4 linked regions of the Cricetulus griseus genome follow. The main gene of each other region encodes a partner of the protein of the gene in region 3 in a complex. Links are inferred from orthologs where the notes say so. Each region holds a gene or a part of one and is shown on either strand. Other genes may lie near its edges.

The links.
Region 1: Ppp4r3a (region 3) and Ppp4r1 share a complex: the UniProt entries of both Homo sapiens proteins name them as parts of the PP4 complex. The link is inferred for Cricetulus griseus from reciprocal best matches to the Homo sapiens genes PPP4R3A and PPP4R1.
Region 2: Ppp4r3a (region 3) and Ppp4r2 share a complex: the UniProt entries of both Homo sapiens proteins name them as parts of the PP4 complex. The link is inferred for Cricetulus griseus from reciprocal best matches to the Homo sapiens genes PPP4R3A and PPP4R2.
Region 4: Ppp4r3a (region 3) and Ppp4c share a complex: the UniProt entries of both Homo sapiens proteins name them as parts of the PP4 complex. The link is inferred for Cricetulus griseus from reciprocal best matches to the Homo sapiens genes PPP4R3A and PPP4C.

Annotation. Positions count from the first base shown.
Region 1 is NC_048595.1:454,768,944-454,776,856, reverse strand, and holds part of Ppp4r1 (serine/threonine-protein phosphatase 4 regulatory subunit 1), read right to left. Parts: intron 7,895-7,913; coding exon 7,787-7,894; intron 7,474-7,786; coding exon 7,408-7,473; intron 6,860-7,407; coding exon 6,701-6,859; intron 5,575-6,700; coding exon 5,447-5,574; intron 1,489-5,446; coding exon 977-1,488; coding exon of another isoform or gene 971-976; intron 1-970. UniProt on the Homo sapiens protein: Regulatory subunit of serine/threonine-protein phosphatase 4. May play a role in regulation of cell division in renal glomeruli. The PPP4C-PPP4R1 PP4 complex may play a role in dephosphorylation and regulation of HDAC3.
Region 2 is NC_048601.1:43,106,423-43,113,415, forward strand, and holds the end of Ppp4r2 (serine/threonine-protein phosphatase 4 regulatory subunit 2), read right to left. Parts: intron 6,120-6,993; coding exon 6,042-6,119; intron 5,776-6,041; coding exon 5,632-5,775; intron 4,936-5,631; coding exon 4,637-4,935; intron 4,454-4,636; coding exon 4,128-4,453; 3' UTR 2,199-4,127; downstream 1-2,198. UniProt on the Homo sapiens protein: Regulatory subunit of serine/threonine-protein phosphatase 4 (PP4). May regulate the activity of PPP4C at centrosomal microtubule organizing centers.
Region 3 is NC_048598.1:104,694,799-104,702,711, reverse strand, and holds part of Ppp4r3a (serine/threonine-protein phosphatase 4 regulatory subunit 3A), read right to left. Parts: intron 5,214-7,913; coding exon 5,136-5,213; intron 5,022-5,135; coding exon 4,905-5,021; intron 2,944-4,904; coding exon 2,788-2,943; intron 1,006-2,787; coding exon 874-1,005; intron 771-873; coding exon 668-770; intron 1-667. UniProt on the Homo sapiens protein: Regulatory subunit of serine/threonine-protein phosphatase 4. May regulate the activity of PPP4C at centrosomal microtubule organizing centers.
Region 4 is NC_048596.1:73,946,469-73,955,012, forward strand, and holds the start of Ppp4c (serine/threonine-protein phosphatase 4 catalytic subunit), read left to right. Parts: upstream 1-3,310; 5' UTR 3,311-3,463; intron 3,464-3,662; 5' UTR 3,663-3,726; coding exon 3,727-3,824; intron 3,825-5,707; coding exon 5,708-5,759; intron 5,760-6,366; coding exon 6,367-6,417; intron 6,418-6,587; coding exon 6,588-6,689; intron 6,690-7,179; coding exon 7,180-7,353; intron 7,354-7,447; coding exon 7,448-7,574; intron 7,575-8,336; coding exon 8,337-8,526; intron 8,527-8,544. Other genes in the region: Aldoa (fructose-bisphosphate aldolase A), read left to right, coding at 36-119, 212-386, 520-719, 797-892. UniProt on the Homo sapiens protein: Protein phosphatase that is involved in many processes such as microtubule organization at centrosomes, maturation of spliceosomal snRNPs, apoptosis, DNA repair, tumor necrosis factor (TNF)-alpha signaling, activation of c-Jun N-terminal kinase MAPK8, regulation of histone acetylation, DNA damage checkpoint signaling, NF-kappa-B activation and cell migration.

The sequences.
Region 1 (7,913 bases), on a different chromosome or scaffold from region 3:
AGCGCCACTTATTCCCTATTCTAGAAGAACCCTGGCAACATCAAGTAACGGCAGAGACACTAGAACGTCTCCATTTTAGCACAGGTCACCACCCTTCTGTGATACTGAAATCACCAGTTTGTTCCAAACACTAGGATCCCAAGAATATTGTCTTAGTTGCCCAAAGTCAAAACAACAACTTAGCAAGCACTAGTTACTAAACCTGACAATTAATACTGCTTTCCTTATACAGAAAATTCAATGGTGACTTTCATTGTTTTCAGAAATCCAGCTATAATTTGTAAATATCATTACCATCACTTCAGCTCTCTCTGGGGTCTTTCAAGTTTCCAAAGCTGAAGAGAACTGTGCTCAAAGCAGCCTATACAGAATACAGTGTGCAAATGTCTCATGCCACTGACGTGACATGAGGACTTCTGCCTCCTCAGAGCATTAGAACATATTTGACACAGACAGCTCACTTGTCTCTAGCAGAGTACCTACGTCCCACCCAGGCATGTCCACCCGGACCGCATTTCTCCAGGCCATCTCTTAGAGAGGGGTCTTTCTACTATCTTGGTGTCTCACCTTATAGGATCTGTTTGTTCTGCCAACCTTTTCTTGGGAATCTACTGTATCGACAGTTAACAAAAAGGGTTTTTCCGCCGGGTGGTGGTGGCGCATACCTTTAATCCCAGCACTTGGGAGGCAGAAGCAGGTGCATCTCTGTGAGTTCAAGACCAGCCTGGTCTACAAGTGCTAGTTCCAGGATAGGCTCCAAAGTCACAGGGAAACCCTGTCTCGAACAACCAGGCCTGGCCCAATGGTTAGTTGTGGATTTCTGCATCTGCTTCCATCTGTTTCTGGAAGAGCTTCTCTGGGGTTGTGGATTGTAGGCTGGGTATCTTTTGCTTTATGTCTGGTATCCGCTTATGAGTTAGTACATTTTTAAGATCACCTTTGGAGTAAAGAAAGAACATAATGGACTCACCCATACCTTTAACGTCTGGGTCATCCATGTGTGGCTCTAGGTTCTCTATCATTTCTTCTAATTCCTTCCGGGTAGCCATGGTGATATTAGGAGAAGCTGGTTCAGGGACTCCGGGTGCATCTCCTGTGTTCTCTGGGCTGAGTCTCTCCCCAGAGTCCTGCTGGAGCTCTTTATCAAGATCTATTTCAGGTAGAGGAGTCCTCCAGAAATAGAAGGAGTTGAACAATTCCTGATCTAAAGGAGTGGAATCTGGGGAGCTGGTGCCAACCTCTGACCGGATTGCAGACTTGCAGTTATCAGGCTTTTTATCATTCTCATCGCTAGCTGCTTCCTGATGAGACTCTGAGGACAAAGTACAGAGTGAGGAGCTGTCCTCTGGGACACTTATGTCACCTGCTGAGTTCCCAGAAGTCTTGGCGGCACAGTCTTCCCGTGTGCTCTCCAGGCTGGCACTAAAGTCTGCGGGAGCATCCTCTGTCCCCATCTGCTCCTCTTCGGCAGCATAGTGATCTTTGAGCCTTTGATTCATTTAGGGAGAAAAGAAACATGGAAGCACACAAAATAGTTACTGGGAAAAACTAGTGGAAAGCAGGACACACAGCATTTAGACTCGCTAAGTGTTTCAGAGGATCCATCACCCACAGGGACCAAATGGTCTTCCCATTGATGGTCCTGTATTCAGACATGTAAACACCTGTCAAACTTATCTCAGCAGGCAAGCATTATCAAGAGCAGGAGAAAGTGACACTTAAGAATCCTGGGGTGCTGCAAACTACTGGAATATCAGTAACAGCAGGAAGAAGTGGATTCTAAGATACGTACAAACTATTTATTTGGGGATTGTTTGTATTGCCACTGTTCAATGACACAGTGAAAGCTAAGAATCAAAACCATTTTTGCTTATAAAAGAGGAATAAGAAAAAAACTCTATAGGGCAGTAGAGAAAATACCTATTAACTATTTTATAAAAATATATTAAAATCTACTTAAGTGTAAATAAAGGGTTATTTTTATTTCTTCATCTCCTATCCTACTTCAAAAACAGGTTTTTTTCCAGAAGGAAATCAAGATATAACAGATAAGGAAAAGCAGCACAAGCTCCTAGTGAACAGGCTGCTGCCATCTGTCCCCCCAACTACAGCCTTCAGTTTCACGACTTCCGTCCCCCTGTCCTTTATCAGTGAGTAGTTGTTGGGCACCTATGAGGACCCGGGAATAAACCAGGGTTCAGGATTTGGTTTGCAGAGTTAGGTAAAGTGTCTGCTGTGCAAATGTGAAGGCCCAAGTTGAGTCGCCCAGCACTGATGCACACCTATAATTCCAGTGCCAGCAGACGAAAACAAGAGCTCTCTGGGGCCTGCTGGTCTCCTAGCACAGCTGAATTGTCAAGTGTCAAGTTCCAGGTTCAATGGGAGACCCTGTCTCAAAAAACAGGGTGGAAAACAACTGAAAGATGCCTGAATTGGCCTCTGGCTTTTAGGCACGCACGTACACAATCTTTAGCATACACAAATAATAATAAACAAAAGGAAATAAGCAGTTGTGGTTCACACCTGTAAACCCTGCCCTTGAAAGGCTGGGCTGGAGATCAAGAATTTGAAAGCAGCCAGGCCCTACAACAACAGCTAAAAATAAAACCAAAAATCCTCACCAAAACCCTGAAAACTGAGTATATGTTGTAGCACCTACTCCTGAGATTATAATTACAGGTAAACAAACAATAAACTACAAAAGCAAATCACCATCGTGACAATTAAAATGCAGCTGGGAGTGCTGGCTTACACCATTAGTCCCGAGAAAGGAAGTGAGAGGCAGTAGGATCTCTGTGAGTTCCAGGTCAGCCTAGTCTACAGAGTGGGTTTCAGGACAGTCAAACTACATATACAGGAAGAAATGTCTACTCCATCCCCAAGAGGAGGGTGTGGTCCCAAGTGGAGGGCCTGAGCATCAAGCAGAGGGTGCAAAAGGAGTGGGAACCAAGGTCTTAGAGGAAACTGCAGGTCAACCAGCAAGTGTTTATGGGGTAAATGGAAGAAAAACATTCAAGAAGAAAAAGCAACATAAAGGCAAGTGCTGCCATGAGAGACAGCAAAATGAGAGCACTACTGGATGCTCTGGAGCTAAGAGGAAGGAACAAGTGGCTGACCACTGCACCTCAGCCACTTGCTTCTGAACTTACCCTGTGTGCTATACAAAGGATGATGCGACTGTAGACAGCCTGTCACATAGGCTATGATTCTGGGGGTGTGGGTGTGGACAGTGGACACACTGACAACTATTTTGTTAACAGACAATACACACGAAATGAACCTGCTTCCCAACAGAGGGCGGGCGGCAAAATAAAGGCAGGGTGAGCACAAGGAACAGGGTGCACCCACAACAGTAAGCAGCCAGAAACAATGCAACTGTTTCAACAAATACAGCAGTGTCCACTTTTCAAAATTACTTTTGTTCTGATAGGAATCCAATCCAGGGCACATTCTAGGCCATGGCTCCATCACTGAGCTACAGCCCAGACCTCATTATTTTACTCGGTCTCTGTATGTACCATCTTCAAAGAAAGAGGTACTAATAGCCAGCAGGTCTGATAAAGACAAGATGTCTATAACCAATAAATCTTTATAAAAATGCTAAGTGACAGTACATGTTTCAGATAAAACATTACACACAAAATAAAAAGACGGAAAAACCTAGAGGCAAAACTTTACTCCAGGGGCTGGAGAGATGGCTTAGCCATTAAGACTCAATGCTCTTGTTTAGGACACAAGTTTGGGTCTCAGCAGCCACAGTGGGTGGCTTGCACACAAGCGGGCGGGCGGGCACACACACACACACACACACACACACACACACACACACATGGGGGGAACATACACATCATTAAAAAAATACAAAAATCCCTTACTTAGTCTGACACTGAGAAATATGAATCCTAGGGAACTGAAAACCTGAGAACAGAAACCAAATTCTAGTTCATCCTGGGTTCTCCGCTTTCATAGTGGTTTGGAAACACAGCAGTGCTTAAATTTAAGGCAAAGCGATCAAACCTCTGGTTCTAGGTGGCCATGCCCGACTAGACGTACAAGTGTTGCACAAGCTTTTATTGCATTTTTAAAGCATGCCCTTCCCTGCTCAGGAGTTTCCTTTCCCTTCCTAAGTCGTTAACAATTCAATGACAACTGTAAAGTCCAGGGCTACAAATAATTCAGACTTGATACCAAGACACAGCTGGTATTACAGTGCAAAGCCAATCAAGACGGCAAACTACTGCTAAATAGCTGTTCTCCAGCGACATCCCTCTAGCCATCAAGCACAACTCCACAGCCCAGCAACTGCTCTTATTAATAACATGCCACCCAAGCACAGCAAGGCGAGCAGAGCCTAGCGCCATGACCGAGAATGAAAAGGCTGACTATCTGCATCTACGGGGAGTGGTCCCTGCTGTCTTATACACATCCCTGTCTATATATTTACACACTCACTCGTCAGACCCTTTCCACATTTAAGACCAAGCTATATGCCATCTTCAGTATACTTAAATTGATCATTAAAAATAAATGTAAATAAATGATTATTAAAAAAAAAATGTAAGCTGAGTTCAGAAATGAAAAGCAGGCGACACCCACCCCACCCCACCCCACCATTTTTATAACATCCCTTCCAGCAGCGGTTCCCAAAAGCACCAAGCCCGAGCTTGCTAGAGAGACCAAGTCAGATGCCATTGTCTTCCTTTACAAAAAAACAGTACCTCAGATGTGTTTGGCAGGACAGTAGGAGAACAGGCAAAAAGGTAAAACAAGGCAGCAGAGGAGAAAGGAAGGACTGTCAAATCAAAACACCAAGAAAGCAAATACCACAGTATCAAGACCTACAGAAGAAAGTGGGCATTAGCACCAAGGCAAGGGGCTGTTCAAGAACATGTCCGCAGACGCTTACGCACGTCCCCTGCACTGTCGGACCCAAGTAGTTCTCTGAATGTGTAACCAATAAACCATAGAACTAAGTGCCAATTACAATTCCTGAATGCAGAAATCTTACAATAAGATTTCCAACCTTTATTACAATTTTGGTTATCTTTAAGTTATGCTTTTATTTAATAAGCACATTAATTTAGGACCAATTATTAATATTACAATGATCATTTTATAGACAGAGAATCCAAGACCCACATTAAATTAATTGACTATAAAGAAAAATAAGAGTCAGAGTGAACTATAAATAAAAGCAAACATATTAAAGTAGGTATTAGAAACAAAGTTTAGAAAGTATTTAATAAATGTATAAGCCTGTGTGCTGAACAACAACAGGTTCCTAGGCAAATCACCATTAAATACCAGAAACTACCGAATGTGTCACTCATATATTTAAAAAAGTAACTTTAAAACATGTACTAACTAAAAAATATTTGGGTAAAATAGTGAGAATGCCGTTTGCAAATAGTACAAGTGGAATACAAAGCTTTGTTTGATATTATACCTGTTTTTCTCTTCTGCTGGTAAATCTTCTGAATTTTTGCCCTCATCTTTGAAACACTGGCCTGAGCTAGATGGATTAGCAAACGTAGATATGAAAGGCCCCAAAGACTGAAAGGCTGCTTGGCGTACCTAAGGAGAAATGAGGACAACAAGAAAACAATAAAAGACAAATGAAATAACAATGCACACACAGAGAGTGACTACTCTGCACACACCAAAGTACAGGACCATAGGAAAGCCCTGTCAGAGAACCCTGAATCCATCTTTCCTTGGGATTTAAAAAGCTTTATAATTTTTTTCTTTAACTTTCAGTTTTTCTTCTGACTTGGCTATTCTAACAATAGGAGCCTGAGTGCTACAGACTATAATACACAGAACAAAACAGACCCTTACAAACCCTTCTTGTAAGCTCTGAAAACAAGTGATGAGAACTGAGACTGTCCAACAGAAGTACACTCAGTCTTTCAATGAGGAGAAACTGACAGCTATAAAGATGACTCTAGATTTAGAGGCTCTAACCCCACTTCTGCCGCAAGGGCACACTCGGACAGACACACTTACTCAAGAATGACAAAGGCTCTCACCATGTACCTCTGGCTGGCCTAGAACTAATTATGTAGACCTGGCTGGTCTCTAACTACCTGCCTCTATCTCTTGACTACTGAGATTAAAGGTGTAGACCTTCAGTGCCTGGTAAAACTACATATTAAAAAAAAGAAATTAAGAAAAAGACAAAGCCAGTGAGTGTTAAACATCAAGTCAATATGACTTGTATTTACAAAAACAAAATAAAACAAAAAATTTCCAAGTACCAAAAAGACAACCTTTAGTAACCTTCTATTTAGCCCTGGCTGTCCTGGAACTCACTCTGTAGACCAGGCTAGCCTCAAATTCAGAGAGCCACCTGCCTCTGCCTCCCAAATGCTGGGATTAAATGTGTGCACCACCACCTGACATTCTAAAATTATTTCTTCAATTTCATGGGGTTAGAGAGAGGGCTCAGTGGTTTAAAAGCACTGACTGTTCTTCCAAAGGACCTAGGTTCAGTTCCCAGCACCCACGTGGCAGCTCACACCTGCCTGTAACTCCTGTCCTGGGGATCTGACACCCTCTTCTGGCCTCCATGGGCCCCAGACACACAGGGTGCACATACCTACATGTAGGCAAAACACCCATAGACACAAGAGAAAAAAATTAAAAACAAATTTCTTAAAAAAAAAAAATCACACTTAGTTTGAAACAGACTCAATGTTACCCAACGTGAAGGGTCGCTGATCAAGTTAATGAAGAGCGCCGACAACTTTGTCCGTCGGATCTCCTGGCAGGTGGCGCAGGAGACAGCCATGAAGCACTCAGCACAGGCCTTTCGCACTCCCCAGACGTTATCAGAGCACAGCTGGAAAAACCTGGGCAGCTATGTGAGCACAAACACAAGGTCACCAGTTACCTTCTAGTCTCTGTTTTAAATGCTGGATATTCTTAAAAAGTAGAAAATGTATTTAATGATGGTAATCAGAAAATTTTAATAAATTACATCCACTTATAATTCGCTCTAGAAGTGCAAAAGCACCAATGCACACACTTGGCGTTGCCCAAGAGCTCACACCTGCGCTCCTTTTGATGAAGGAACTTGTACACGGGGTACACACATGCTACAATGTAACGACTGAGGCTGCCATGAGGTCTAAGTGCCAATGTGAGTATACAAGTAAGACTGAAGACTCAGCTGAGTCAATTGATTTACTAGGCAGAAATGGGGAAGCTAAAGTCTATCAGTGTTTCTCACATGGATTTTAATTTTCAACCAACCATCCTTATCAACATACATTCCAAATGCCGCCTTGAAGACATTTAAAATACTAAACTTGTAAGCATCATTCTGGTTTGGAGTCATGGGGCCATGTTAATAATCTCTACTACTCTGTAATACAGCGTTTATTCTTCACTATCTGGGACACTTACCAACATTTCCTCTGTGGCTTGCTGGCCAACTACACTGCAAATATCTCCAAAATTGGCAGCACATACCTGTAACAAAACCATTACTAACATTTCAATATCACATACAGAGTTCCTTAAAAACAATCTACTAAATTTCACTATCAGAGCACCATGCATTCTTTTTTTTTGTTTTGTTTTGTTTTGTTTTGTTTTTCGAGACAGTGTTTCTGTGTAGCTTTGGAGCCTATCCTGGCACTCACTCTGTCTGCAGGCCATGCTGGCCACGAACTCAAAGAGATCCGCCTGCCTCTGCCTCCCAAGTGCTGGGATTAAAGGCGTGCAACACCAACGCCCACCATGTACTCTTAAACACAAAGACCAAAACTAGATGCAAACACACCTTCCGAACGTGGAACATCCTACAGTCACAGCACATCTCACAAAACCTGGGGAGAATGAGACGCTCTGTAATATCCTTCCCAACCATAGGAGCCATCTTGCACATTATCTGGAATAAGTGAGAAAGA
Region 2 (6,993 bases), on a different chromosome or scaffold from region 3:
TGTGATTGCGTGTTAGTCTACCACATGCTTGCAGAACTCGAGAAGCCCAGAGGAGGATATCAGAACCCCTGGGAATGCAGTTACAACCACCATGTGGCCGCTGCAAATCGAACCCAGGATTAAATTTAATCATAAAACATTCAAAAGTATACTTCACTACTCACTCACTTCTGAGTAGTGACGAACCCAAAGACCATAAACTCTAAAACTAAAGCCGGTTTCACTATCTTCACCTTACACAGGAAAGTAGCCAGAGAACGACCGGTTCCTGCTAGTACACTTAACTCCACTTAAATTACTAGTCCTCGATTCCGTACTGGCTGCATCACTTAGCAGCTAACTTTTAATGGAGACTAGTCACAAGGTCGACCAGGAATGAGAAGCAGGAAACCCTGACTCACACATCCTATCCATAACACTTTGTGTAAAGCCACAAAGGAACTGTAAACCCCCTCTCCAGACAATCACTTACCATGCAGGTGCCTCAAGGTGGGGTTTCTCAAATGATTACCAACACACATATCAATGCATGTAAACTATCTCCAAGTCATGCCAACAGAGAATCTGCACACGCCTAGCAAGACCCCCACTGTCCATGCAACTCTGCATTCTCCCTGCTGGCACCCTCACTTAGGTCAAGCATTAAGCTTCCTCCCTGCTGACCCTCAACTGAGGGAAAATGGGGAGAGGCAGGTGTGCTAGAATAGTAAATAAAGTAATTCCACACATGAAGACATTCTTCTATTTTACATTTTATTGCATTATGAAAATAATACATTTATTTGGCAAAGTGATCTAGGCTCCAGGTTGAAATAGAGAATTCTGGTGTCCGGATTATTTTTTAAATGTGAAATATATGTACTCTAGCCAATACATACTAGCATCCTTGTTAGGCCAACAACCCAGTCAAACTAATTTTCATAATTCCATATGAAATTACAAGGTCTTTTTTGCATCCATTCATCTCATGATTAGCACAAAACTCAAGAACTGACCTTCATTTTGTAAGAAACTCCTGCTCAAAAAGACAATTTGAAACACTACTCAAAATAATTTGCTTTGGCTCTGCAGGTACATTTCCCGTCCTCTCATTACAGTTTTCACATTCAAACATCGCAGCAGCTTTAGGCTCTGCCCAAGTACCGTTAAGTAAACTAGTACATTACATACATTATTTGAAAAATTGATTTTACAAATGCATAAATACATGCCTATCTACACTGTCAAAATAAAACACTGGGACCTCAATGCTCTAACAGGCCAGCCAGACTTTCCAACCCAAGACTTCTGGGATAGGTTTCCAAAGCCACAAGTTACAGCTCCCTGACTAACTCCAATGCTCTGACCACACATGGGCAAGGCTGTAGTTGTGACAAACAGTAAGTGGATTAAACTTAATCAACACTCAAAATATATTCTCACTATTCATTTCTGTTCTGCCACATTCTCAGAGCTGAAAGCACATTTTTCAAAAAGGTTCACCTTTTAAAAGGGGGAAATAGCAAAAACAAGTCACATGTATACTGTTTTCTCATCAGCATCACCCTATTGCATGTCAGGGCTGGGAATGGAGAAACAGGTAAGAATCAGAGGGCCAGCTACGTCAGTCATCCAAGTCTTGATTCTCCTGGATCTTCTCATAGAACTATGCTGGGTACATTAAGGAAATGTGCCTAAAACTTGCCTTTTAAACCTACATATGACTCAGTTCATGTTAGAAATGATGCTTTCTTTGCACAACGTCTGTGGTAAGTGCACCTAACCATACTGTGGAAATGGGCTTCCAAGGGGGCAAGGCATTTACAGCCTGTTGAGCATGGTTTCACAATGTGATGAGTATTGCAGCTGCCCTAGAAACCTTCCACCAGTATCCTACATGTATCTGTATAAACAGCACAAACTTTCATCTATGATCAACATAGGAATAGCTAATAAATATTAAAACTATTAAACTACAGATTAAAATGCAGACCTCTCATAGAATTGAGTGATGTCATTTTGGTACATTCACCATTATTGTACTTTATTTAATAAAGAAATACATTTTCCCTTGCAAAGATAGCAATTGCAAGTTTACAAATAAAACCACAGACCACCATTCATGATGCTAAATCTTCAACTTTTAACCAGCAGCAAACTGATTTGTTTACAAATGGTCCATGGCACCACAAATAAAGACTATCAAAGGTCACAGGAGCTTAGAGAACAGGTTTATTGACAACAATCTCATAAATATCCTAAGGAAAACCTGTTTCTAAACCTAAAATGTTTAAAACCTGCTCTCACTAGCAATCCCTCAACAAAATAGAGTAACAGGTCCACTACATATGAATGTCACATCCAAAATTTGCTTCATTTTAACATTTTGCCAATTTTTTTTAAAAAATTACATTTGATTTTCACCCGTCTTGGGTACAGTAAATCAACGTTCAATTTTATTAGACTCATATATTGTCTGGCTGCTGTGAACCTGAAGGTCATCAGTCAGTAGTATATTACTCTATGAACAAATGGAGCCAAATATCTTGTATTTTTAGTCATAGCAATTAAGTAGTCAAAATGCAAACTTTGTGGTTCCCCTCCAAATCCCCCAAAGCTTATGATACAGTGTGAGATGCTGTTTGCATCACCTACTATAAGTCCATCTGTGTACCTCAGGTGTCTGAAACTAAAAAAAGGGATTCTTTTGTATTTTGATAAAAATGTACTCGAATATTTCATAACATTAATATTTATTGCTTTATATGAATACTGTATTGAAAGCCCAAGCATTCAGTTTACACACGAAATTATACAATTATACCGCTTCACAAAGGCAGTGAACACATTACAGTCTACAAAATCTACTTTACAGAAATTTAAAAATTCTAAATATCAAAAGGTACAGCTGAAGAAACAGGTATAAATTTGGCAGCCAGTAATTTTGACAGGGAAGTTGCAGCTTGCATGACTTTAAATATGTGAATTTGAAAATATTTAGAGTAGTAACCATTGTGCTTTGTGTTGATCTGAAAAATATAACACTGGCTGTCTAAGAAGCATGTTCAAAAATATTAATTCACTTCAAAATGTTGTACAAATCATGGTGGTCTGTGTACCCCTAAAGCTCAGGTACATTACTGAAGTAATCTACTTATTCTTCCAGTACAGTGCTCTTTCACACCAGTGCCATGTGCATACAGGATAACTCAGAAACAAAGGTGTGATGTTCACAATGTTCAGAAAAGCAAGTGAAACGTTAGGGGACCTGCAGGCTCTTCTGAGATGGTTTCCTGTCAGTCTCCTAAGCACTCCTTCTACCAAACAGTGAGCTAAAGCTCCTACGCAAATCCCAAGATAAAGCACATTTTCTCATAAATAATGAAGTTTTTTTTTCCCCCTCAGGCACCTTAGAAGTATACAAAAGAATTTTAGTTTGCACAGATCTGTTGGAATGTGTTTAACCTGGTATTTGAATAGACTTAAAGATTCCCAGGGTTTTCCAGGGCCAGATTTTATCTAAATTACTCAGAAGAGAAACAAAGTATCTTCTGAAGGAAGTGAACTCAGTCATTACCAATAAAAAAGTATCCACTGTAGTCATCTCTTATAGAAACAGAAAAATATAACATCCCCCTTAGAATAATCTATATATGTATATATGACTTAAACTTCCATTGGACAGTTGAACAATAAAATCTGAAACCACATGAAACCCTATAATTCACATGTTAACATGTTCAAACTATGACTGAAATATGGAAACCGCTAGAGACAAGACAAAAATCTCCCTTGTGTATGTATAAACCAAATGTGATCATCTTTAAAAAGTTTTCAAAATTATAATTATCTTCCAGTTTAAAAACTTTAATTCTAAAATTAAAAAAAAAATCTATACACAAACCACTGATTTGAGTACACCAGGAAAAAAACAAACAAAAACCCAAACAAAACAAGAAAATCAGCAATAACCAGGACCCAGAGGAGCCGGTATTCACAGCTCTTCGACGCACAACTCTTTCAGGGTTTATTCTTAAGTTTATTTTACAGCCTGTTTCTCTTGTAAAACTAAAGGTCCACTTTATTACTTAAAAGTTTTATACAGTGTAAAACCAGAACTGTATGTAAAATACTGCCTCTAAATGTTTCTAAGTAGTTAAGTCTTGTTCCATTGGTTCATCTGTCATTTCTGTGGTTTCATCATTTTCCATGGATGACACGGAGACACTTTCTCCCGTTTTCCTGGAAGTGGTCCCTCCTGGCTCTTCTGTCTCAGGGCAGTCAGAACCACTACTCACAGCCCCTGCAATGTCACTCCGTTCCGAGTGAGGATCTCTCTGAGCTGGAGACCCATCAGAGTCCTCCATGTGCGTACCCTCCTCTGAAGGCTCTTCATTCACAGCTAAGGCGTCATCAGATTCTTTTTCTTGATTTTTTTTCTCTGAGACCATTTCTCTCGGTGTCATAAAAGATTCTAGAAATAAGCAAAAGCTGGAATTAAATTTTATTTTCCAAACACATCCAATTGAGTTTCGTACACTGTTATCTACAGATCGTATCTACTCAAACTTGGCAACCACACACAGGTAGGACAAGAGCCCAACACCAGCACTGTGAGGAGCACCACTGAATGTACTCACGGGAACTCTCCTCTCACCTTCTTCCTCCTCTTCTTCCTCCTCCTCCTCGTCCTCCTCCTCCTCCTCGTCTGTACAGTGCTGCCTGCTTTGACTTTCCCTGTCCTTCTCCGGAGGGGAAGATGCTGCTTCAGCTTCCTCAGTGCCAGCTGAGCCTTCACTGGACACCGTGTGGCTAACTGTCTCTTGGTCTTCGTCTTCTATGTCAAAGCGCAGTCTTTTCACCTCATGCCCCTCAGCCTCCACAGTATCTTCATCCGGATGTTTATTTTTAACAGGGCTCAGTGAGGAAACTTCTGGTTCAGATGCTGGAGAGTCACTGCCGATGGTTTTTAAAGTGTTATTAATAAAATTATTTTCGTCATACTCTACATGCCCATCTGTAAGTTTAAATACTTAACAAACTGCACCATCAAATTAAACACAACTACTGGTGCCGAGAAAAACACAGAACAATCATCGAAAAGCAATCTGAACCATTTCATGGATGTTCCCACTGGAACTGACTTGGCTAGTTCTACCTTTCTGGGAAATTCTAGAAAATCTTGTCTACATTCATCTCTAGCTGTACTGACATAGTAGTCATAGCCCAGCCAGCCACATTAAGGCCTGTTCTTTCCCTCAGAACAGTAAACGGGTCACCCCACAGGACCCATGGAAGTTCCAGGACCAAAATCTGAAGACCTCGAAGTCCATATATAAAAGGTACAGTATTTGCACACAGCCTCCCTTATAATTTAAATCACTGCTAGGTGACAGAATACCTAATTCAAGTAAATAAACACTATGTGCACGGGGGACAAAGTCTATACCTGGCCAATACAAAAGCAATTGTTTTCCTAGTTACTTTTGATTTTGATCCTTTACTGGTTGAATCTACCAAACCCAGAGACGGAACCCACAAATACAGACAGTCCATGTACCTTGTGAATTGTAAATAGTGCTAAAATCCACTAACAGACATTAAATTTCTATGCACTTCTTTCTCTTCTCTTTAAATGTGAAACATACAAACCTGTGGGCTTTCTCTTCACTTGGCTGCAGATCTGACTCTTTGCTATCTGTGCTCTCAGGTAAACCATTTGTTGTCAAGGGGGCTGACAAAGAAAGTTTTGGTCGATTAAGTGGCCTGGGTGTTCCAGGCCCATTTATATTAGACCTATAATGAGATAAATGAACGTTATTTTCCATTTTTAGAAAAAATTCCAAAGTACACATCACAAGTATTTGCTCTAATTTTGGCCTTCAGATGCCATGATAAGCAAATGTAGGCTGGTATAACCTACAATGTTAGGTAGGTTATACAAGATCTTGTATCTTCCCTGTAACATGTTCAATTTAAAAAGAGTATAATGAACCTGCTAACTCAAACCTACCAGAAAACTTGGACATTCTGTATAGTTTAAAAAAAAAATAAATTCTCACCTGTCAGTATAGTTTGGTGAGTTTCCAGGAAACATAACACCATTCATTCGATTTAAACTATTAGAACTGTTGTTCTTCCTGTAATAAAAGAAAACACTTCAGCTGGGCATGATGACTTTAATTACAAAGGGGGGGGGGGGACAAGCAGAACTCTGTGAGTTCAAGGCCAGCAGGCATTATATAGCAAGTTCCAGGACAGCCAGGGCCAGAGTGAGATCTTGTCCCAAAACAAAAGAAATAAAGCAATAAAGGGAGGGCAAGAAGGAGGGAGGGGTTATGAATGGCTCACTCCTTTAATTTTGGTAAATAATTTGGTTGTAGGACAGGAAAAATGGCTCAACACACAGGTTGCTCTTCTAGAGGACCTGGGTTCTGTTCCCACAGCACCTACACAATGGCTCACATATTATCCATAATTCCAATTCTCGAAGAGCTGGTGCCCCCTTCTGAAGTCTATGGCATGCACAAGGTATCCACCATACAGGCAAGCCAAAACACATATAGGAAGCAAAATAACCACATTTTTAAAAGAGGAAAAATCTGGGTCTTTAAAAAAAAAAAAAAAAAGTCATTTTGAAACAGGGCTGTCAAATTCAAACAGACAATGGGGAATTAGCACGTATGTGTTTAAAAAAAAAAAAAAAAAACTATTAGTCAATGACACTCGCTTTCGAACCTCCTGGAATGTTCTTCAGATAGCTTTATATTCACCAAAAAAGCAAAACATTCAATTCAAAAGGAAATCAATTTGAATTTTTTGGGTTTTCTACTAAGAAGTATCAAGGGATTGTCTCAGTATCTAATTTAGCAAGACAGATGAAGTCAAGAACTCTAAAAACAAAACTGTCTAAGAAATAAATGGCACTTAAGATTAAGCTAGTGGATCTATGAAGTAGCAGCCTCTTTTCCCCACTCTTCACATGTCCCAGGGTACTCAGTCTCCTCTCCTTCT
Region 3 (7,913 bases):
TTTCTGGATATAGCTCCAACAGCAATTTCCTAATAGTAACTCTAAAGCTACCCTTTAAACATACACTTAAGTGTAAGCCCTAAGGAATAAGCTGTAATAGTTTGTCACACATCTGTGACCCCAGTATTGAGGAGGTTGAAATAGGAAGATTGTAAGTTTGAGGCCAACATGGGTTCCATAGAGAGATCTCTTAAACAAACACACAAACAAACAAAACCTGAAATGAAAACAACAGCTACTTTTTTTGGTGTATTTTTGTTAGCTGTGATTATAGTACTTTTACACAAATTTCATCTTAAAAATCTCTTGAAAACACACGATAAAATCTCACCCAATCTATTAGAGATGGTTACTTCCTTCTTAGGGTATATCCTGTTGCTCCTGCTTCTGTTCCTTTCTTTATAGACTTAATTTATTTTTTATTGTATGTACATTAGTTTTTCTTTTGCCTGCACCATGCACGTACAGTGCCCATGGAGGTCAGAAGAGGGTGGTAATGACTGGAGTCTGTAGACTGTTAGCAGCAGTGTGTGTCCTCTGGAAGAGCAGCCGGTGCTCTGAACTGTTGAGTTATCTCTTCAGCCCCAATGCCTTAAATCTAAACTGTACTCAACATCAGTTTTTGAGTTTGACAATTCAAGAAAGCTACGAACCTGAGTTATCTTACCTTTACTAGGCTTGTCTTCTGTTGTATTTGCTAGTAAGGGAGCAGTGAGAACATGCATACAGTGCTTGTAGAAGAAACCCAGAAATTCAGTCTTTTCTGTTTTCTAAGGAATCAAAAATACTTCGATGAACTTTATTAACTGTATTGGTTCCTACCAGCAATAGAAAACATACTGCTATGAACAAGAAGAAATAGCCATGGCTTACATTGGCAGTGGCTAGCATGTTCTCTGGGTCAACTAAAGTTCGAAGCAGGCCCATAAGTTGGACTGCTCCTCCAAGCTCAGGATCTGTATCACAAATCATATGTTCTATAATGAGGTTGATGAGCAAAATATCCTGGTGATAAAAATACACATAATATAATTACTAAGACACATATTATAGCATTACAGCTAACACTAGCCATCTTGTTAACTTCAAACAAAGTAGTGACTATTTAACACGATAGATGGGAGTGTTTCTTTGTCCTAACAGATGATACAAAGACTTTAATAGGACCAAAAAAATTAAGTTTATTTTCCCATTATTTTTTTCTCCAGGGTGCCCTAGAACTAAGAGACTGTCCATCTTGCCAACTCAGAGATCTGCCTGCCTCTGTCTCCCAAGCGCTGGGATTAAAGACATGTGCCACTACTTCTGGCTTTTTCTATTATCTTTGAACTTATCTGATTAAAGAAAACAATAGGATCACAAAAGCCAGGTTTGGTGTTAAAACATGTTTTGTTTCTCTAATAACTTTATTCTCTGCAGAAAGCTCATGGACTTTACATTCGTGGTTCAAAATAAGAATACTTATAGTCAGAATTTATAAAACTGCTTTGCTTTCATTGCTTCTTAATTTTCTTTTCTTTTTGACACAATAGCAGTTTTCCATTTGTGGAAATGATAAATTGGGTATAGTGAGACTGGAGTGCCCAGAACAGTAGTATATAATGTAGATTACAAATGTCAGAGAAAACAATTTATGCTTTTCCCAAGGACCTTTAGGGATGGTGTTCTTGGCCCAGAGGATTAATAAAAACTGAAGGATACAATGAGCAAACTCCTTCTGCTTGCCTATGTATGCAGTGGTAAGACAGACAAGGACAAAGAAAATGCAGACACTATATGGAAATGATTGGTAACTGAAATCCAGAGGCCTAATGCATGTTCGTGGGGTGTGAAGATGCACAGGCCGGCATGTCTGCTCACCCAGTGGTTACAGGGCCTAAGAGAACAGCCTTTAGCTTTAATTACTCAAGATAGTCTGGTTCTCAAGATAGGACTATTTCATAGAAGAAAAATGTGATCATGATTCAATAATTCATGGTACATTTCTGCACGTAGTCTACCACTATAATTTTAAGAAGGAACCACAAATAGAAATTACTAGGCATTCAACTTCAAACTGGTGGAATAGTAGATTTTTAAAAATGTTATGCTTCATTTTGCAAGAAACACTGCAAGCTGAAATTCTGCAAACTCCCCTCCCCTAAAAGGAGACATAAATTTCCTCTTCTCAAGGAAATTGAGACGGTTTGAATCTGTTCTTAAGTAAAATTTGGGAGGAAGGAGAAAAAACAGAACTACTGGTTTAGTAGAGTGAAGTAGAAAAGCTCATACACATCCAGGGCTTCTACATACACTATGTCCCACCAAATTCAATCTACACTGCCAAGACAGGCTAACAGATTTTAAAGCCAATTTACCTATTCTAATTTCTGAGTAAATACCACCATAGCTTATATGAGAGTACAAGAAAATAACTTATTTTTATTATTATAAAGAAACACTTCCCTAATACATTTCAGGGCCATATTTTTTCTTGATTCTGAGGCTCCACCTCTAGTAGTCTAAATGCTTTCCAGTGAAAGTTACTTACAGTTCCACAAACAGAATGGTCAACTGATTTAAGGGTTTAAATAAGACAATATAGACAAGTCAGCTTCATAATTTAAAAGTTGACATCAAATACAATAAATTTATAAACTAAGGCAGGAGCAAATTAAGGGGACAAATGAGCCACCTAACACTATGGCTACACTTCCCAAATAGCAGCAGTTTAAATCTTAAAAATACATAACCCCAGCTATAGTCTTCTATGCATAAATACTTACTATTAGTGTAAATAATATTTACCTTGCTGGTTATTTTTTGCTCTGTTAACTTCTTACTTACATCATCATTCTGTTGTGCCTCCTGCATGACAAACTCTCGTACCATGGATGGATTATATTCAACCAAGTATGAGAATATATCAGTAGCAGCACTTCGCACCTGTGTATCATCCATGCCCTGCATAGAAAAAGTGCCATTCTCTTACAATTATAAAAACATGAACTTTATCAACAAAATTATCCAAAACCTGACAAAAGAAATTGTCACAAAGCACCAGACCATAAAACAAACATCTAAATGATTGGTAGGGGGAACCACTTTCCTGGTGGTGTAGCCACTGGTAAGTTGATGCTCTAGCAAACAACTCCTTATCCACATTCACTTATATAAGCAACCCTAATTAAAACCACTGGGTCCCAAAAAACAAAACAAAGACATGAAAGTAAGATAGGAATGAGAGCCAGTCAGTGGTGGCCCACACCTTTAATCCTGGCACTTTGGAGACAGAGGGAGGTGTATCTCTGAGTTTCAGTCCAGCCTGGTCTACAGAATTGAGTTCCAAGACAGTCAGTGCTATACAGAGACCCTGTTTAAAAAAAAACAAAACGGAAAGTAGGGATGCTTTAGGACAAAGAGAGGGATCAGCTAAAGTGGAAAGGAATGAAAAAGAGGATGGGAGACCATGATCACAACACACTGTATGAAATGGTCAGAATTGTAAAAATTTATCTAAGGGCTAGGGAGATTGCTCACTGGATAGAGCAGTTACCAAGAAAGCCTAAAAACCCGAGTTCAAATCCCAAGAACCCATGCAAAGCCAGGGATGACAGTGTCCACATTTGTAGCCCCAGTGCTTCTATGGTAAGATTAGAGGTGAAGACAGGGGACTCCATGAAAGCAACTAACCTAGCTAGCATGCAGTATATAACAACAAAAGGCAAGAGACCCTCTCTCAAACTGAATGGAAGGAAGCACGGATTGATACCCAAGTAGGCAGCATACATAGCAATGTCAAAGGACAAATCTTAGGAGGAGCCAAGGTCTTCCTTGGATCTGTTGCAGTGCTGCATACTCAAGGCTAGCTGTCTTGTAAGTTTCTGGACAGATCTGCCTCAGAATCCTACCTTACTGTGTGTTCTGGGATCATATTCTCCCCTCCCTCCCTCCCCCCCACATACCCACCCACCCCACATCCAGCTTCTGCTTCTGACATGGGTTTCGGGGATTAAATTTTAGTCATCAGGCTTGCATAGGTACCATTTTTAGTGGCGGCACCATTCCCCATCCTCAAGATATATTTAAAACCTTTTTTTTTTTTTTTTGGTGACAGGGCTTCTCTGTGTAGTCCTGGAACTCACTCCGTAGAACAGGTTGGTCTCAAACTCAGAGACCCATTGTCCTTCCTCTGCCTCTCTAGTGCTGGAATTATAAATATGTATATAATTGTCTGTGTAATGTATGATTTTTCAAGATCTAATTTCTTTGTGTAGTCCTGGGTGACTACACAAAGAGACCAGAAGTGCTTGGATTAAAGGCATGAATCACTATTCTCAACCATGTCCTTTTATTTTAACATTTCATTTGATAGGCTATAAAGCTAATTATTAAAGATGTGATTACATTATTATATGTATGTTCATATGTATGTACAACAAGGTCTAATTGTATAGCTCTCAAAGTCCTGGAATCCTTTGTATAACAGGCTACTTCAAACTCACATAAATTTCCCCAACTCTACCTGGGATTAAATGTGTATTACCACCACATCCAGCAAAAAATTATTTTAACAAAAGCAGTTTGCTAGTTAAACAAAGGAGGACTCTAATACTGGACTTGTATCATTTCTGTTAACTCTATGCTACACAGCTAGCACTAAATATCAGCTATACTCAAATGCTTTGCCTACTTCATAAAAACTTCTGTATTTATGTACTTAGATATATATGTTAATAATTAAAGAAAGAGAGGCCATTAACTTAGAGTTACAGAGAGAGAGAGAACACAAGCAGGTGCCTGGGAAGGAGGAAAGGGAAAAGTGATACAATTTTATAATTTCAAATAATAAAACTCTCCAATATCACATCCAGTTTTTGATATGGTTCACCTGGGCAGTTCAGAATGTAGAGAAGCAAACTTACAAGGATGACTTCTAAAGCTGGTAATATGCCCATATTTGACAAAGTCTTGAAAAAAGCATCTCTGTTTTGGGGTTGTAGCGTTTGAGAAAATGCACAAAATTCTTTTAAAAAATTAACCTGAAATCAGGAAAAAGGACAAGTATTAAAAAGGTCAATCTTAAATTAGAAGAGAATCAATTGAGTGTAAATGGCTATTCCACTTCTCTACCCTTCTAGTGTATGATTTCTTACCAATTCTTGTCTTTTTTCCTCATCTGTTGCTTCATCTGTCAGTTGTGCAAACAAATCTGTCAGAAATTTTTCATCTTCCTATGAAATAAATGATAAATTTAATTATCTTGCTGGCAAGACTATATAAAATACAATTTCAGCATGCTATAAACTAGCTTGATAAAAGATGTCATTTTTTTAAAAAGGAAAAAGTCATCTATTAAAAGATGTATGTGTGTGTGTGTGTGTGTGTGTGTGTGTGTGTGTGTGTGTGTATGTATGTATGTATGTATACACAGCCAAATGTTAGGGGCACACATCTTTCTGCCCAGCACTAGGAAGGCAGAGGCAGGTGGATCTCTATGAATTCCAGACCAGCTGGGTCTACATAGTAAGTAAGACCTTGTCTTAAAACAAAACAAAGACAAACTGGAGACTTCTATCAGAAAGATTACCTTTGTGTTTTGACAAAACGCTTTTCCTGCTTTAGAGCCAGGAAGAAAGTGTTTCATACCCTGCAAGCCAGTGGTTTCTCATTCACTACTACTGCAAGTCAGACTGATTATAGCTGTGTCACCATGAAACTTAATAAACACAAGCACAGCAAATCTGGCCTAGTGCCAAATTCTTAAAATTACACCAATGGGGAGGTAGAGGGAGAAGGATAGAAAGTTAGGGGACAACATGAGCAGCAGTGAGATCCAGTCTCTTAAAGAGTCAAACAAAAAACACATAAATGTAGCCAGTGTTTGCCAATTCATTGCACAAGCTAATGGCAGAAATTAAGGTTCTACAACCTCTCTCCAGTAAGGATAAAAATGAAACATTCTTTGGGCTTTAAATATATAGAAAATGATTTTTAAAATGTTAAAATTAGAGATCATGAAGAATTATCTAGGGCTAGAGAGGTGGCTCAGAGGTTAAGAGCACTGACAGCTTTTCCAGAGGTCATGAGTTCAATTTCCGGCAACCACATGGTGGCTAACAGTCACCCATAATGAGATCTGGTGCCCTCTTCTGGTGTGCAGGCATACATGGAGGCAGAATGTTATATACATAATAAATCTTTAATTATACTCATTAACACACTAAATTTTTTTGAGATAATTATTTAAATTTATAATATTTATGACATTACTGGCAGTGGTGGTGCACGCCTTTAATCCCAGCACTCAGGAGGCAGAGGCAGGTGGATCTCTTTGAGTTCGAGACCAGCCTGGTCTACAAGAGCTAGTTCCAGGACAGCCTCCAAACCCACAGGGAAACCCTGTCTCAAAACCACACCCCCCCCAAATATTTATGACATTAATTTTGAAAAGGCCCCAAAGGATTCTATTACAGAACATTTATTATTTTGGGCAAGTAATATAGATCCTCTCTGGTACCCAGGGAACCTTCTTCATTACAATTTCTCATCAAGATTTAGCTCATAATTTAAATCTATTTGCTTAGGTAGGAGTACATTCAATACTACTCCAGTTAAAGTGTAAATTCATGCAGACTACAGTGTAAGTTTTTAAGAAATTACATTTATCTATATATTAGGAATGAGGGGAGCACTGTGCCATAGAACACATATGAAGGCCAAAAAATAACTTTCTGGAAGTTGGTTCTCTTCTTCTAGCATTGAGCCATCTTGCAGGTCCTATGTAGTAAGTTTCATTTTCACTACGGTAGGAAACATTTCTATACAACACTCAATTATTTTTTCTGAAAATGTATAAATACATGATTCTGACGTTGTCTTCTTTTTTTCAAAACTAATGGCATCCAATTTCAACATACATCCCAGATTAGTATCAGAGCATTTAATAGTATTACAGAGGAACTAGTCAATTAGAGTGTGTAATTTTGTATGTGTACATGTAAAGGGTTGGTAGGGAAAATATAACTTAGGGGCTGGAGACAAAGCTCAGTGTTTATACACCATCAGCACCCACTGAGTGGGGTTGGAAACAGGGACAAACAAGGACACATAGCAATGTATAGGTCCAGAGAGGCTCTGCCTCAAAAGAATAAGGCAGCAAGTAACAGGTCACCCAGTGTCCTCCACTGGCCTCCATGTATACAAAAGTGCCTGTACCTGAAAACCCACACACAGACATCACACCCACACAAAACAGAAAAATTCTAGTTCAGTTTATGGTTTTGTCAAATACTATGTAACATAGTTCACATTCAAATCAAGAATTAATAGACACCGTTTTTAAAGTTACCTAGTTTTACAAAATCTTTAACACTTTATTGTGTGGTTTCACTTGATCTTCAGACACTTCATAGTATCCTATATTAATATGATTTTCCAGAAGGGAAATTCAAGGTTTCCCATAACAAGCTGTTCAGATCACACAGCAGCTATTAAGTAACAAGTGAAGCCCAAACTCCCACTACTCTCAACTACTACAAAAACACATTTTGGAAGGGACAAAGGCAGATGTGATTACAGGTACCCGATGTGGGTAACAGGACCAAGCGGCAGTTCTCTGGAAGAACAGCATGTGTTCTTCTGTCTCCAGCTCTGATTATTTTATTAGTGTCATTCCCCTAAAGTTGCTTAGACACCGTCCATTCCCTTTGCAATTTGTGATATCTGAGACTAAGTATAGATCACCAGCATGTTAACCAAGTGCTATCACTGTTGCCATCTTTACCTAGAACACAACAACCTTCAGGTCTCAAGAGTATCATCATTAATCAGAATGTAAATTAGTATCAAAATAATTATCATAATATTCCAAGATTAAGTTTCAATGTAAGGATTTAAAAAATTATTACTTTTGCTTAAAGCAATTAGCATTT
Region 4 (8,544 bases), on a different chromosome or scaffold from region 3:
CAGGAGTCCTCACACTACCCTTTACCTCCCCACAGAATGGCATTGTACCCATTGTGGAGCCCGAAATCCTCCCTGATGGGGACCATGACTTAAAGCGCTGTCAGTATGTAACTGAGAAGGTAGGTTGCCTGTCTTTCTAGCCAGGGTAATGTGGTGGGCAGGGTTCCACTCAGGTGGTCCTTGTCCTTCATCTCACCTTGCCCTGTTCCAGGTACTGGCTGCTGTCTACAAGGCTCTGAGTGACCACCATGTCTATCTGGAAGGCACACTGTTGAAGCCCAACATGGTCACCCCAGGCCATGCCTGTACCCAGAAATTTTCCAATGAGGAGATTGCCATGGCAACTGTCACAGCACTTCGTCGCACAGTGCCCCCTGCTGTTACTGGTGAGGCCCACTCCCTTGGCTTGCTGGAGTGGATACACCATCACTTTGGCCTCTCCGGGTAGCTTTTGGCGGCTACTCCCTGCATCTATCTCTTAACGAAGGCCACCTCTTTCCTTCTGCCCTTGTTCTCTAGGGGTCACTTTCCTGTCTGGAGGGCAGAGTGAGGAAGAGGCATCCATCAACCTCAATGCTATCAACAAGTGCCCACTGCTGAAGCCATGGGCCTTGACTTTCTCTTATGGCCGAGCCCTGCAGGCCTCTGCTCTGAAGGCCTGGGGTGGGAAGAAGGAGAATCTGAAGGCTGCCCAGGAGGAGTACATCAAGCGAGCCCTGGTAAAGCATCATGAAAGGGGGGGTGTGAGCAAGTGGAGGGGACTTGGCTCTCACCTGATTTCTCTCTTCCCTTTTAGGCCAACAGCCTCGCTTGTCAAGGAAAGTATACCCCAAGTGGTCAGTCTGGAGCTGCAGCCAGTGAATCTCTCTTCATCTCTAATCATGCCTACTAACCAGAGGTGATCTAAGGCTGGCTGCCCCATCAACACTCCAGGCCCCTGCCTACCCACTTGTGTTCAAGAGGGGGCCTTCAGGCTCTTTCCCATCACTCTTGCCCTCGTGACTGGTGTGTGGTGTTGTCTCTGAATGCTAATTCTGCCATCCCATCCAGCCCACTGCCAATAAACAGCTATTTAAGGGGGGAGTCTGTTGTCCATGTCTTATAGGGGATACGGGAGGCCTGAGGAGAGAGCCTTATTTTGGGTTCTTCCTTTCTGGGTAGTTAAAAGGATGCAATAAGGCTTTGTTGATCTGTATACTTTTGAGGAAGGCTGAGTATTGTGAAATGCTCTAACCACATCTAATTGAAAGGGAGTGATCTGCTGGAGTTATAGGCATAGGGCACTGAGCCTATTTGGCTGGGAGCCAAGCCTGGGTTTTGTGAATGCTAGGCAAGGACTCTGCCACTGAGCGACACCCCTCTCTCTCATTCCTAATTTAGGCTTTGTTATCTTGCCCAAGATGAAACTTTCTTGGTGGGAACAAAGCATTTAATAAACGTAGCTATTTTCCCATTGCAACAGGAAATGGAATTACCAATGGCTTTTTAGGAGCCTTTGAAGACTCAATCTTCTCCCACGCAGATATAGGTACACACAGAACTCAGGTACACAACTGCAGAATTCAGGTTTCGGGTTAAGGACAGAGCAGAACAAGGCCCCCCCCCCCCCACCAAACTATGGACTACCCAATGTTGAGTGTTGCCTGAATGTTTGCGTACAATGTGTGCCTGATGTCCTTGGATCCCAGAAAAGGGTATCAGATCCCTTGGAACTGGAGTTATGGTTGAGAGCCACCATGTCGGTGCTAGGAATTGAACATGGGCCTCCTGGAAGAGCAAAAGGTACTCAAAAGTGTTCAGCCCCATCATACCTCTAGTAATTTAAAGTTGTTGAAGATTATAGGTATAAACGGGGACTTGTTTTAGTCTTAACCATTTAGTTTTCTGTGGTTTCTGTAACCTTCCTGGTCTGAATCTTTTCTGTTCTATTTCCCTTTCAAAATATTTTTCCTTTTCACACTTTTCTATGCACAGAATAGTCTTTGGAGTATCAAAAGTCTGCTGTCCACATCTTTCTATGTATGGCCTATAGCCCAGTGGTTGAACACTTGCCTGTCATCCATCTGGTTCTAATTTAATTCTGGGAAACAATCTTTCTGTTTGGGATCTCTCTCCTATCCCTCCCCCCCCAGGGTTTCTCTATGTAGCTCTGGCTGTCTATAGACCAGGGTGGCCTCAAACTCAAGAGATCCACTTGCCTCTGCCAGGATAAGGTGTGGGCCACCATCCCTTGGCTTCTAGAAAACACATAAATAAAAACATGTTCAAAATTGAGGGATGGTAAAAGACATTCCAAAGGGGAGTATGATGTTCAAAAGTGTAAATTAGGAAGATTAAAAATCAGGCTACTCCATCAAAAGATTAAGGAATCAGAAGACTTTCAATGTGAATTTGGAGAGTGTTAGGTCTTTTTTGTATTGCTCTGAGTTTCAGAAAGTAAATGAAAGATGAGAACCACTTTTCCTGGGTTCACATTTGATCCTTGGTTCAAACACCAAATTTTTAGCTTTTCAATTTAGCAATTTAACCTGAGCCACCAACACCCTGAAGGAGTATGATCAGACAATAGGAAGTAATGTTGGGTGTGATTGTGTAACACCTGTAATCATAGCACTTGGGAGGCCCAGATGAGATTTGCTGTGTGTTAAGGTCAACTGCAAATTTTGGGCCATCCTGAGTTACAATGCGACCCTGTCAAGAAATAGATAATAGACTATTCTGGAATTAGGGAATCTTAGAAACAAGCTTGATGTGGGGAGAGTAGGTACTTTTTTTTTTTTTTTTCCAATTAGACCCCCTGTGGGTCTTGGAGATCCAATTTAAGTCAGTTAGGCTTGGTGACAGGCAGTCCTTGGTGTCAAATATGCTATTTTGGTGGGTTTTGGTTTTGTTTTTCCGAGCGGTTACTATGTAGCTATGAGACCCTCAAATCCTCGGTCCAGCCTCAGCCCCCTGAATGCTGGGATTACAAATAAATGTGCCACATACCTGGCCCAGGTTCTGAGTTCCCATGGCAAAGGCCCATGGCAAGATACTTGGCTAGGGTTGGCCCATTCATTTTGGACTATACATGTCTGCAATGCTTAGCCTTATTCTAAACACTGGGAAAGCAACGATGAACTGAGCAGTTCACTTCTCAGATCTGTAGTAGGAGCAGGACAGAAAGTCAGCAAGAGAAAGTGCAATGTGAGATGACAAGCTTACCAGAGCTCACGTCATTTGGCGTACATAACTGACGCAGAGATGCTTGCCTACCAGACCCGGTCGCCCGCCCACTTCCGACTCTTTAGTTCCTCCCGTGCGCCGCGAGAGGGGCGTGATCGGTATATGTCACTTCCGGCGCGCGACCGATCTGGCCTCCCTTTGCTTCCGCGGCGAGGCCGGAAGTAGAAGCGACGGTGGCGGAGGCCCAAAGCGGAGGGAAGTGGGGAGTCGGAGAGACCCAGCCGGAGTCCTAGCGGCGGTAATTGTCCGAGGCCCCTCTAGGCCACCGTCCTTAGCGCGGGCCCGCGGGGTTCGACGGGAGTTGGCGGGGTGCGGCCAGGGCATCGGGACGCCGAGGGTCCTGGACCGCCGTGAGGGGAGGGGGGGGCGGTCCTAGAATCGAGTCCCCCCTCCCGCACGGACCCTCTGATTGGCGGGCTCGCCTTCGCCTTTCCCAGGAGACCCCTGTGCGGTCCGGAGGGGGCGGCGGCCCCGACTCTGACCCGCGCCGGGGGGTGGGCCATGGCGGAAATCAGCGACCTGGACCGGCAGATCGAGCAACTGCGGCGCTGCGAGCTCATCAAAGAGAGCGAAGTCAAGGCCCTCTGCGCGAAGGCCAGGTGAGCCCGCAGGTCCGCAGGAGAGAGGCCGGCCCGTCGCCCACGGGTTTCCGGCTGGGCACACTCAGCTGAGAACTTAGGGCTTGTCCCATCCCGGAAGCATTCCCGGAGAGGAGCGGTCCCGAGGGCCACTTCTCCCCAGGAACCACGGGTCGGCTGTAGATACGTTTCTAGTGGAGTCAGAGTGAGTGGCAAAAAGTTCTTAGGAAAGTTAGGAAACCCGGCCTGCTCTACTGGGGCGAAAGAGAAAGTTTCTTGGAGAGCTTGAGTTCTGGGACCGACCTTGAAGAATAAGCAGGTTCAAGAAAACAAACAAACAAGAAACCTCGTGGTTTGTAAAAGTCTATCAGTCCTTAAAGATTAGGTGGTTTTGTGCTCACTTTAACAAGCAAGGGCTATAATGGTTCAGAATTGCCAGCAAGGAGGAATGGGATCTGAAGCTGGTTCTCTGAGTGCTGATCCTTTAAGTTGTGATTCAAGAAGTAGTTGGGTCACTCTCATGTTCCGTTGGGATCCTAAGGAAAACACAGTAAACTAGAGTAGAACATAATGAGTTCCTTCCACACCAGCTTGGTTTACTGAGTGAGGATGTTCAGTAAAATGGTTGTGAATATTCATTCAGTGAATCTCGGCTTGAAGCATGGTGTTTGGGTAAGTCATGAAGTGGTAATATTTATGGTGGGAAGGGCACACTAATGGTGTATTTGTGGATTGACGCTCTTGGGCTTCTAAAAGAGGGTAGTCCTTGAAAGATAAACTCTAGCTGAGGAAACACAGGGACAAGGAACCTTCAAGCAGGGTAGAAGTAAAAGGGAAATATGTAGGCAACAGTTAAGGCTTGTTACCTGCCTTTTCTGGGAACTGTCTCAGTGTGGCTTCTACCCTGTTTAATAGAACAGTATCATAGTTCTTACCCTTCCCCTCCAATCCTTCGAGGCAGGAGGGAGAGGTGTGCGAGTGTGCGATCGAGGGTATCTGTGTGTCTGTGTTTCCTCCCATGTAGCCCTAGCTGGCCTTGAACTAGGCTGGTCTTGAACTCAAAGCAATCAGTGTGCGCTGGGAATCTCGGAATATGCCTGCCCCAGTGCTGGCTGCCCCATGGCACCAGCCCTAACAAACCTTCCGTGCTGCGTTGGCCTGTGTGTGAGCTGCAGTGTTTATGCTACACTTGCCAAGCTTGGGTTTAGAAATGGAGGACTGCTGAGATTGGACATCAGGAACTACCAAAGGGATTTTGAGAAGTAGTCACACTACAAGAACTAGAGCCAATTCCATAAGCTGTGTGTTCATGGTGTGCTGTACAGTCCTTTAATTCCAGCACACAGGAGGAAGAGACAGGCAGATCTCTTGAGCTTGAGACTAGCTCGGCCTAAACATCAAGTTCCATTCTAGCCAGGGATACAGAATGAGATCCCGTCTCCAAAAATAAATAAGATTTATTGTTTACAAGGAAGGAGCAGCACAACCCTTTGAAAAAGTGTATCCGATTGGTAGGGAGTGAGGTCAGAACTCAGCCTAGGGACAGTCAGTGCTCTAAGAGAAAAGGACAACCCTCCCAGAGTGTGTGCTGTACTTTTGAGAAGGAACCACAGGGTGAATCAAGGCTGGATATGCCCCAGCCTGCTTGGAAGGGCTTGAATAGGAGTTGGGGTGGAAGTGAGAAATTGGACTTTGTCCAGTTGGCAGCAGGAAGCCATGAGCAGGTATTGAGTGGTAGAGGGCCATGGTCAGTGCTTTCTGACCAGATTCATGGGGAAGTGCATACTTCCTTCTGTCCCCTGGAGGTTCAAGGACTACCTCATGTCCTCCCTCCCTCCAAAAAAGGTCAGGAATTGGGCTGGGCTGGCCTGGCTGTGGTGACCCTGGTCTTCTCCTGTCTCCAGAGAGATCTTGGTAGAAGAGAGCAACGTGCAGAGGGTGGACTCGCCAGTCACAGTGAGTACTCTGTCTCTTGGACCCTGACTTGGTCTTTTAAGACACATGGAAATCCTAAGTGGTGTAACAGCCCCCCACCTCTAAGTTAATGAGAGGCTAGAACACCCCAGGTATCTTGCTTCTCAATCATCTGGTGAGCCCTGATGCAAGAATTAGATAGTGGCACAGATCTTGTAATTTAGTGATGGAATGTTTCCCCAGTATATATGAGGTCTTGAGTTGTGTTCTATGTGCCACAAGAAAATAAAAGATGCTGTAGGAATTTTGGTTTGTCCTGGTGACGCTCGCAGCCAAGGCAGAAGAAGTTTGTGGATCAATAGCCCTGTTAGTAACTGTGCTGAGCACATAGAGGCAAATGGATGAAGCCAGTCTTCCTGAAGCTGCAAGTCTGCCTGCAAAGACTCTTCTGCACCATAGCAGTTGGCTTTTGGTGTGATAGATGACACCAGAACAGGCTCACTTGGGTTAGAGAGGGAATTTGGGTCCTGAGATGGGGTGGTGTCACCCTGGCTGGCCTGGAAAGTAACATGTGTTTTGAAGGATGGTGTCTGGGAATAGAGGGACTGTGCCTTTGTCCACTCTTTCAACCCACATTCTTTCTTTCCAGGTATGTGGTGACATTCATGGACAATTCTATGACCTCAAGGAGCTTTTCAGAGTGAGTGGGGGGATACTGGGACTTTGAACCTAGGGTGACAGAAAGCCATGATCATTGATAGGTCTTAGGCTGCATGGTCTGTGGGTGAGAGAAGGGGCTCAGCTAGACTCTGGTTGCTGTAGCCAGAGAGGATAGTTTGGGGCCAAGCAGAGTCGTATCCCTCCTCCCAGGTAGGTGGCGATGTCCCTGAGACCAACTACCTCTTCATGGGAGACTTTGTGGACCGTGGTTTCTACAGTGTTGAAACCTTCCTCCTCCTGCTGGCTCTTAAGGTGAGGACTCTTGGCCCCTGGAGCCTGAGCTTTGGCCACTACTTGCTGCCCTCATCACCTTTCCTGTCACCTACCTTGGAACTTTGCTGTGGCTGTGGACTGTGTGCTTAGCGGGGCTAGTCAGGACTGCTGCCATGAGTGGGGCCATCTCCTGAGCCCTTACAGAAGAGGCTGGTGATGTGAGTTTTGGAAAGCAGGCAGAGGCTGTGTGTTCAGGGAGCAGCAGGAGTTAAGTGAACTGGGAGAAGTCATAGTGAAGGGCCACATGGGGTGAGTGTGGGGTGCTAAGGACAAGAGCCAGAGTCTGGCAGTAGCTTCTGGAAAAGGCTCTCAGGAGCTTGTGAGGCAGGGACACCATGATTTATGTAAGAGACTGCGGGAGTCTGGGCCAGGCAGAGGACTGAGTGAGGCTAATGGATGTCTTGGAGACTTGGGATGGTTAAGTGGGAGGTAGAGACTAGAACCAGTTCTTGCTTGGTGCTACCCCTAGGTTCGATATCCTGACCGCATCACTTTGATCCGGGGCAATCATGAGAGCCGCCAGATCACCCAGGTCTATGGCTTCTATGATGAATGCTTGCGCAAATATGGTTCAGTGACTGTATGGCGCTACTGCACTGAGATCTTTGACTACCTCAGCCTGTCTGCCATCATTGATGGCAAGGTAGGTTGGCCCTGGATCTCCTGGGGGGAGGGGGAGGCTGTGCTGGGTCTCTGGGCTTTTAGTTCCTTCTCTCTGGTATCATTCTCCCTTCTAGATCTTCTGTGTGCATGGGGGCCTCTCCCCTTCCATCCAGACCCTGGACCAGATCCGGACAATTGACCGAAAGCAAGAGGTACCCCATGATGGACCCATGTGTGACCTCTTGTGGTCTGACCCTGAAGGTGAGGGCAATACCTGAGCTGGCTCTCCGTGTGTCTTGTGAAGACTGGATTAAGCAAGTGTATGAAGGGAAGTCAGGCAGGGAAGAGGAGGGCAAGTTTGGCCTGTACTGGCTTCTGCCTTCTCCTTGTGTGACTGGATCCTCCTCAAGGAGCAGAAAGCATGAATGGTGGTGCACTGAGGCCTACTGTGGGTTGGCTCATGAGTTTCATGGCTTAGAGGGTCTGTTCAGGATGAAACCCTTGGCTCCCTGGGGGGAAGAGGTCATAGACCTTGACAGTAGCTTCTTTGGAGGTGAGACCCATTCCCTTAGAACGAAGACCTCTGACGGTTCCTAATTTTGTGTGGTTCCCCTCTAGTTAGGGGCGGAACTGAGGTTTAAAGCCTGGCTTTCTGAGTACCAGTCCTAAGCATACTCTCTAATTCCACCACTGTTACTGCAGTCTGCGTCATGTGGCATAAGGTGACCTTACTGCCAGGAAAGTGGTTGGTCATGGCTGGTGCTCTGGGTGTGAGCACTTCCTATCACTTGAGTGCTGCTTGAACAGCACATTGTATGTTATGGCCACTGTGATGAGGAGGTAGGTCCCAGCCATGAAGCCATCTTTCTCCTCGGAGTGCCTCTGCTCCAGTATTTACTATCCTATCTTCCAGGGTTCCCTAGAACAAGCCTCTGGTTGATGAGGGGAAGAGGCACAGGCTTCTAATTCTGTGGTATAGTAGTCAACCAGAGGACCCCACACATTGTCCTTGTCTTGTCTCAGACACAACAGGCTGGGGAGTGAGCCCCCGTGGGGCAGGCTACTTGTTTGGCAGTGATGTGGTGGCCCAGTTCAATGCAGCCAATGACATTGACATGATCTGTCGCGCCCATCAATTGGTGATGGAAGGTTACAAGTGGCACTTCAATGAGACCGTGCTTACTGTGTGGTCAGCACCTAATTACTGCTACCGGTAAGCTGGCAGGACCAG